Oryzias latipes: one gene and its partner. The protein of the gene in region 1 purifies or fractionates together with the protein of each later gene. This does not show direct contact. Links are inferred from orthologs where the notes say so. Each region holds a gene or a part of one and is shown on either strand. Other genes may lie near its edges. The genes, in order: nek1 and c17h21orf2.

Region 1 (3,816 bases):
GAGTGCAGAGAAAGCAGAGCCTCTCACCAGCTGGCCCTCAGCACGGACTTTGTTGAGCATGGCCTCCCGCTTCCTCTGCAAGAACTCTTCAACCTGAAAGGCTCGCTCAGCCGCCATCTGACCCCGCTGCCTGAAACATTACCCCACATTACAGCAGCTCGTCTTCTCCAGTTTCCTTCAGATCCGTCGTGGACTGATCCACTCACCGGCTAATGTGCACGTGTTTGGAGACGCACTGCAGCCTCTGAAGCTCCCTCTTGATTGCACTGTGGTTGAAGCGCCTGGAAGAGGTGCTGGGCAGAACCGGACCTGCTGCAGCCGGTTCACCTCTGAAACACAGCAGAGACCCGACACTAAGAGTTCTGTGATGTTTCCCATTAAAGGACGCGGTCATACCGGAGGGGACTGCGCGGTCCCGCAGAGAGCCAGCTGGCATCTTTATGCTGGGGTTTGGCCGTTTGGTCCAAGGCAGGGTGGCTTTGTTCGGGGGGGCTCTTGCTGGAGGCGGGAGCAGGAGAGGCAGCCCCAGCAGCCCGCTTCACAGCTCTCACAAAACACTGAATACAAAAGCTTGTCAGCAGTGACCAGCTTTAGTCTGAAAAGAAACACATCTGAAGGGTGGAACTACCTTTCTCTCTGGGCTGCTGCCTCCACTTGAAGTCAGGATGTGCTTCCAGCCTTGTTCTCTGGCTTGATTTATTCTGGTGATCTGAGGGAAATCACAGGCAGGATTTCATCAGTTTTCTCTAGAGCTTATAGTTAAATCCGGCACGTCCAAAGTCCAGCCCACGGGTCAAATAATAATAATGGATTGGATTTTATCTGCGCTTCCAATGTGTCCATTATTCATTCATACCTGGTGAGGGTAACTACTGATGTAGCCTCAGCTGCCCTGGGGCCATTTTTATTGAACCACTAACGTTAGCCACAGAGGCGTGGCTGCCAGTTGGCGCCTACGGCCCCTCCGACATTCGTACACATTCACACTGCACTGGAGCTGCACTGGAGGATGAAGTGTCCCCCAAGGACACAACGACAGTTAAATGGGGGGAGCAGGAATTGAACCGCCAACCCTTTGGTTATTGGTAGGGTTGTGCCGATGGACGATATTATCGTCCATCGTGATGGGTGACTGACATCCCGATGGAGAGACCACCATCGTGATGCCATGCCCCCGCCACGTTGCGCGTCGACACCATAAGCCGCGGTTACATGTACAAAATATCTTGATGGGATCAATGGTTGGATTAGAATCCAACCGTGTACATGGGCCCAGAAAAATGTTTTCAGAATATAAAAACGTTCACTAAGGTCACACTTTCCATCGGAATAAACCATTCGCACATGCGCAGTAGGGTTTGAAAAACGGAAGGATATAAACTCCGCCGAGCGGCTTTTTTTTTCAAACTTTATTGTATGTAACAGTTCAATACAAAACATTGTTAAACAGCGCCGAGCGGCTATATACATTGACATGTCAGCTCGGTAAAATACGAGATGATCTTCTAAACGTGCTTTTAATAATGTTACGGTTATTATGAAACACCTGTTCGCTCATCATTTGAATTTTAATCCGTGTGGTCAGTTCTTTTTCTGAACGAAGCCAGGATTAGCAGTATGCTAACACGGGCTAACAACATTAGCTTTGGGTGGTTCTGCTTGCTGGCTGCACGTAAACATGTAAGAATAACATCAGCCTTTATTTAGTCGGGACACGACTGGAAACACAAATCCGCGTGATTGTTTAAATGTTTTTTAAGGACTGAGCGACATTTCTGCTTTGAAGCTCAAACCACTGTGTGTGCTGACGATCCGAGCTGTGCACAGACACACACTTTTAGACCCGGTTCTGAGTTCGGTTGCTTGTACCCCTAGAGCTGCGGGACGGATCGCAGTCTTAAATCTCCCACACATACCGCTCATGTACCCCCCCCCCCCCCCCCTTCCCATCAAACACAAAGCTGTAAGTCCGCACTCCCCCGGAAGTGCGGGAGCGGACTACTTCTCTTCTATTTTGTTTGTTACTTTTTTTGTTAAAGTCACCTCCCTCAGTTTATACTGGATCATCGCGGATTAGTCATCAGTAGGGAAATAAAATGAAAAAAGCAAAAAACGAATAGCAGTTATATAAGAACGAAAAATGTAAAAAATACCCCCCCCCCCCCCCCCCACGATGTCATCGTCCATCCCGATGGTTGACAGCAAACATCGTCAACGGCCAATTTAAGGGACATCGCCCAACCCTAGTTATTGGACAACCTGCTCTACTGCCTGAGCCGGCGGCATGCGTGGTCCAAGGACACGTGGAAATTGGAGTGTTTATTTGCTTGAAATATGAAACAACTGTGTTTACCTCCAATCCCAAAAGACTGTGGCCATTTTGAACCGAGACTGAACAGAGCAGAATATGAACTGGAAAGTGGCTTTTAATTTTTGGATTTCCACAAGGACCCGTGAGTCCAATGAAAGCACCACAAAAGAAGAGCTACGAGGTAAAACATCGACTGCCAAGCACTGCAAACCTTTCACTAACGATGAATTTATGACTGTCAGATGAACGTGCTGCAGAACATTTGTCCTAAGAAGAAGCGAGAGTTATAGGAGTTTGCCTGCCTTGTAACTCTGTGGTCCGGAGAATTAAAGACAGTTCATGTGAAATGGAAGGAGAGTTTTTCATTAGACACCTCTCAGTTACTGATCTTTGAGAGGAGTAGACAATGACACAAACGTGAACAAAGAGCTGCTTGACCTCCAGAACCTAAAGGGCCCAACGAGAGGAAACATTTGTTTCTCTGATCTTTGCACTACTGATCAAGAGAACCGTTTGTTATTTTCCTTGATGTAAATCCAGGTTTATTCATTCATCTTCTCCCTCTCAGGCTGCAGTTATACTTTTATTCAATAGTTTACTTGCATTAATCCTGCAGCCTGGTTGGTTGGCTGTCATAGATTTTACCTCATCACACCTGTCCCTCTCTGCTGAAGGTTTGGACGCCCCTGGTTTAAGTCTACCAACGGTGTTTGGTTGTGACAGGTCTAATAGGATTAATATCTGCCCTTTTCTGCCCCCGTGGAGCTGTAGGCCCTTTTATACATGATACACAAGTACATTGGGGGATTTGGATAAAAAGGCAAGAATACACTTTCTGAATGAAACCTAACACGTAAAAAAAACAACCCAAAAAACAAGAAGGATTTGGGTTTAAAACTTCATGTACTGAAGTATATTTTATCCAGTTAAACTAAGCTGTTCATGGGTAATTGTTCAAGTGAGGGGAAATAGGAACCAAATAAATAAATAAGTGCATTCAACTGCATTTGAAATACAGACAAAGAGGCAGATGGCTCCTGAAATGCTCACCTTTTCTTTTTCACATCTCTTCATTTGCTCTGCTTTCAGCATGAACATCTGAAAGACACGTTTTTCAGAAAGGCTGGAACAACTAGGAAAAGCTTTCCTGAAAGAAAACAGTGCAATAACCTGCTCTCTCTGTCTCCTGTCCTTCTCCATCAGCTCCATCCTTTTCTTCTTCATGTTTTCCTGCAATGAGACAAAAGAAATCCTCTTCACTGATCTGACAGAAAGGGGAAGTCTGGTGTCAGGGATGAACCCAGAAAAAGAGCAAATGAAGGGGAACCTTGATAATACTAGTCATAGGGACAAAGAAAGACAGGAGTGGAAGTCTCTGATAAAAGTACCTCCTGCTTTTTCCTCTCCTCCTCCACCTGACTCCCTCTTCTCAGGTGGGCTGCTGGCAGAGGTGCCTAAGCAACACATTCAATTAAAAAAAAAAACCACGAGTGACACATTTAAAA
Region 2 (4,577 bases), on another chromosome or scaffold:
GTCCTCTCAAATGGACAAACAAAAACAACAACTAACTAATTTAAGACTGATTTCTTGCATGTGGGAAACAAATGTCACATGACACCAGTCAAGCTACATTTATCAACAGCCACTTTGGCACCAAACCAACTAAATACTTGTTCCCAAAGAAATAGTTTAAACTGAAGATGTTTTATATTTACGTGAAGACCCACTCCAATGAAAATGGGGTTTTTAAAATGCTCCTGTGGCCTTTTTCTGACGATGGGGGACCAAATGGTTATTTAGGAGCAAAAGAAAAATCCATTTGGAAAAGCGTATTAGTAATGTCACCCATAAAAATAAAAATTGTGCAAGCTTCCCAGTTCGTTATGGGAGGTGAGCGTGATCCACGCCAACGATCCTGCTCAAAACTTAGGGGTGAATTTCTAATGAACTGGTGCTGCTCTGCAAACTTTTTCCTATAAAACGGAACAAATTTTGAGATTTTGGCTAAAAATGACAGAATTAAAAAAAAAAAACACTGGGAATGCTTTAAAAGAAGCTCAAAGAACTCTCAAAATGATTGCTTGAAAATAGGAGTTTGTTGACAAAGTAAAAATCTAAAGAGTTCTTCCATCTTAAACTTTTATCTTTATCACATCCTTACTGCAGCCCCTCAAAATAACTCAAATGTAATCATCAGTTCTGACAGAAATCATATAAATCTACTATTTTATCTTCATCGTTAATTTCTAACTAAAAATCCGTTTTAAAACACTTGGAGATAGCCAAACTAAGTTTTGAGAATCACAGGTTTTAGGTTACACTGCACATACTCTAAACATTGTGCAACAATGCAATGTGCATTTTGATTATTTTAATCAGTTTTTGTGCTTGTTCACACAAACATATCTGACTTTAGTTTTTTAATTAGTCAAGTTGAATATTTGCATCACTTTTGAGTCTGCAACTGGCCTCAGTTATGAACACATTCTGCTAGTGCTTGATATTGAGTAATGTGGCTCTGGGTGGATTTATCCAGCCAAAACCACCAGCAGAAGATGATCTTAAATATGCATGCATGCAATGACAGATTCAATCAGGGGGTGATGAAGAAAAACAAAACACTAAGAGATGTTTTAACAGTTGGAAATAAATTACCTTTACAACAAATGATCAAGATCAACACAGACAAACACGATCTCTTACTTGTATGTCCAGGCACCCCCAGCCACCGTCTTCTTGCAGGACCCACAGTGCCAGATACCAACGGCCCTTCTCTTCATCTTAGTCTGCACAAAAAAAAAAAACAATCAGGTTTCAAAACCAGAAATTTTCAAGCACATCATTTCAAATTTCACGATTCCTATTTATTGAAATTGTAGAAGGATTAACAAGTGAGGGCGCAAGGACCGCAGGGACACCTTACAGGTAGAATGTTTACAGTAGCTCTTACCTTGCCACAGAAGGAGCAGGTGTACTTCGCATGCTGGGAAATTTCAATTTTCTTGACCATCTTCCTCAGCGACGCGCCGTAACGTGTCCCATATTTACCGACGATCCCCACCTTCTTGGTGCGCTTGGCCTATGGAAGGATAATAACCATAACGATTAATGACGCTAAACATCACTGGAAAGTATGTCAATGCATGAAAACGGAAAATGACTTAGCTAAAATGTTGGGATTGTGTAACTGTTTTTTTTTTTTTTTTTAAAAGGGTTCACAACCTCTCGGAGCCGCTTAGCTACAATGGAGTGAACGCTAGCTTCAACAAGCTAACGTTAAAAAAACTCCAAGCTCTCGAGCATGTTCACACATTTTGCTGAATTTTTGGTTCTTCGCCTACGTAAAGCCGAAGGACAAAAAGAAGACGCAGTCTGAAAAAAATAAGGTTCCAAAGTGATATCAAAAAGACTAGCTCGCCCGGCACTTGGGCTCTATGATATGGTGGCGGCCATTTCTGTTCCAAACATGAAAACATCATTCATTTAGATGGGATATTCATCCAGTAAATGCATGATACTGTTTCATATGAAACAAGAATACCATTACAATGTAATACAAATGGTTATTTTATGACTTTAGCCACAGGAATGGTTAGATTGACATGGATTGTCAACGGGAAACCCTTGGCTCACCATCGTTTCAGTGGAGACGTAGGTCCAAAGAGGGATTGCGTAACGCGCAGGCGCGATTTACTTCGTCGCCCACTTTGCATTGTGGGAAATTGATTTTTTACATGAACGCCATAACTCAAGAATTACGCTTTTCGGCACTTTTTATTTTGAATAAGCGTTTAATTGTATGCTTTTGACAGACACAAAATGCAAAAAATTAAAGTTAAAAAAACTCACGTACGCCGTAACTAAGAACGCGTTACTTGGTGTGCGCATGCGTATTTTCGACGTGAACAACGACATCCCTCTAGCTGCACGATTGAAATGTTGTGGCTGTTATGATGGACCATACCTTGTTTTTGAGGTTTTATGTAATTGAAAGCATCTTTCCTTTTTGAAGATACCAGGAATAATGCCATGAAGTTGACACGGAAACTGGTACTTGCTAAGGCGAAGGCCTCGGACTTAGAAAGCGTAAAAAAATTAAACTGCTGGTATGTGTACAGCACCAACTCTCAAGTTTTATGGGGGTCTAGTTATATTCATTCATGTCTGTCATTTATATCTTTACCACATGCTTTTTAATAGTTATAATGCTGCTTTTTATTGCTATCTGATACTAATTACTTTTTCAATTGATTTTTCTATCGTCTTGTAGGGGATGCAACCTGACTGATGTGAGTATTCAGATAATTGCTTCCATCTTGATCTTATTCTAACTTCTGTGCCTGAATTTATGTGTTTTTGCAGATTTCCATCTTTACACAGATGCCCAATATTGAGGTGCTCGCTCTGAGGTTGGTGCATTGAACTCTTTGACATCTATAATGAAATCTGAATTCCTGACTGGAACACTACCTTTGTCCATTCACAGCGTCAATGGCATCTCCACGCTTTCACCTCTGGCTGGCTGTTTATCTCTGACCGAGCTTTATCTGAGGAGGAACCAAATTCCCTCCCTGTCCGAGCTGTCCCATCTGCGTCCGCTGCCTCGCCTTAGGGTGCTCTGGTTGGCCGAGAACCCCTGCTGTGGAACAGATTCCAGCCGCTATCGCCTCACTGTTCTGCGCTGTTTGCCTCGTCTCCAAAAGCTCGATAATCAGGGTGGGTGTTAATGGAAATGCAGCCGTTACCTAAAGCTGTCGAGGAACTTCAACTTCACGATCCCTCTGTTTTTGTTTCTGTTTGGTGTCCAGTGGTGACCGAGGATGAGGTCGCTCTTGCTCTCCTGAATGGTGAAGAAGTCAGAACCCCTCCAGGCAGCCTACCTATCCAGCTTTCCAACAACGGTCATCAGGATGCAGAGACAGAGAATGACCCACTAAACTACAACATGGAGGAGACCAAGTATGTTTTGTGGACTAAAGCAGAACTAACAGAAAGGCACAAAAAAATGAAATAATTTGTCGAAGAAATTTAGACAAATGGTTTCTCTTTTAGCAAAATCAGACAGGGGTTGGGAATGAAGCCTCTCTCCAGGGACAAGTTTTCCTCTCCTTGTTCTCCGTCAACCAGAGAAAAACCAACAATGAGAAGGGTAGCTGCTATTAGCATCGCTGCAGTAAAACTCATCGTGCTGATGTTACATGAAGTTTTATTCTAACTAGCGCCATCTTTGCATTTTCAGACTCACACAGTGGATGCGATTCTGCTCCTGCTGAGGGATCTGGATGAAGAGGAGCTTCGGATCGTTCACACAGCCACGCTGAACAGGCTGCAGACCTACACACTGGGCTCAGGAGAGGCTCAGCCACTCACAGCCCACACAGAAACGCACTAGAACTCACGATAACGGCATGCATTCAGCTCCAAAACGCATTGGAATGTAAAACTCAGGACTTTGAAACAGAAAATGTGCACAGGATGACATTCCTCAGCTTTTCTATAATAGAATTTTAACTTTTATTTCTGCATGTGTACCTAGCCTTATGGGAAAAAATTATGCATGTTTTTTTCAAAATGTATACATTTATTTCTGTAATTAAAGAGGAAAAATAACAGCAATAAAATTACCTATAAATTGAGCTTTTATTTATCTGAATTAATTAGTTTACAAAGTGAAAAGTGGTGGTACTAAATCCTTGACATCATTTAAGCTTGTTCCGATGGACTTAAGCTTCTGTCCACAGATCAGATCCTCAGTCCCCCTCCTCGTTCTCCAGGAAGTCCATCAAAGTGCTGGCATCCACAGCGACAGTCAGGTACTCTACTCCATCTGCGCCCTGGAGGATGATGTCACCGAGGTCAGAAAAGCGATGTACTATGAGAGTTCAGAAGACCTATGAAAAGGAGTTCACCTTGCGTGTCCTGATCAGTTTATGGTCCCTGAACTCGGTCAGCTGAGTCCTCAAAGTCAGATCAGAGTTCACCAGGAACGCCTCTCGACAACGCTGGTAGAAATCTTGGAAGGAAAATCCTGCACACACCACAAAAAATGTATTTCAAATGCAATTTAGGAAGAAAACAGTTTTTAATATACTCTTTTTTTAAACACCTGT

What was found.
Region 2: the proteins of nek1 (region 1) and c17h21orf2 purify together in Homo sapiens (affinity purification with mass spectrometry; 3 studies listed by BioGRID and IntAct, with this or other methods). This does not show direct contact. The link is inferred for Oryzias latipes from reciprocal best matches to the Homo sapiens genes NEK1 and CFAP410.

Annotation. Positions count from the first base shown.
Region 1 is NC_019862.2:1,046,521-1,050,336, reverse strand, and holds part of nek1 (serine/threonine-protein kinase Nek1), read right to left. Parts: intron 3,766-3,816; coding exon 3,700-3,765; intron 3,542-3,699; coding exon 3,482-3,541; intron 3,410-3,481; coding exon 3,362-3,409; intron 710-3,361; coding exon 629-709; intron 558-628; coding exon 397-557; intron 330-396; coding exon 207-329; intron 131-206; coding exon 28-130; intron 1-27. UniProt on the Homo sapiens protein: Phosphorylates serines and threonines, but also appears to possess tyrosine kinase activity. Involved in DNA damage checkpoint control and for proper DNA damage repair.
Region 2 is NC_019875.2:17,265,616-17,270,192, forward strand, and holds c17h21orf2 (protein C21orf2), read left to right. Parts: upstream 1-1,546; 5' UTR 1,547-1,598; intron 1,599-2,100; coding exon of another isoform or gene 2,101-2,103; exon of another isoform or gene 2,104-2,203; intron 2,204-2,343; exon of another isoform or gene 2,344-2,479; 5' UTR 2,480-2,496; coding exon 2,497-2,573; intron 2,574-2,737; coding exon 2,738-2,756; intron 2,757-2,829; coding exon 2,830-2,876; intron 2,877-2,953; coding exon 2,954-3,183; intron 3,184-3,275; coding exon 3,276-3,426; intron 3,427-3,519; coding exon 3,520-3,616; intron 3,617-3,706; coding exon 3,707-3,859; 3' UTR 3,860-4,103; downstream 4,104-4,577. Other genes in the region: rpl37a (60S ribosomal protein L37a), read right to left, coding at 1,171-1,253, 1,418-1,546, 2,101-2,103; orc2 (origin recognition complex subunit 2), read right to left, coding at 4,218-4,301, 4,377-4,495, 4,574-4,577. UniProt on the Homo sapiens protein: Plays a role in cilia formation and/or maintenance. Plays a role in the regulation of cell morphology and cytoskeletal organization. Involved in DNA damage repair.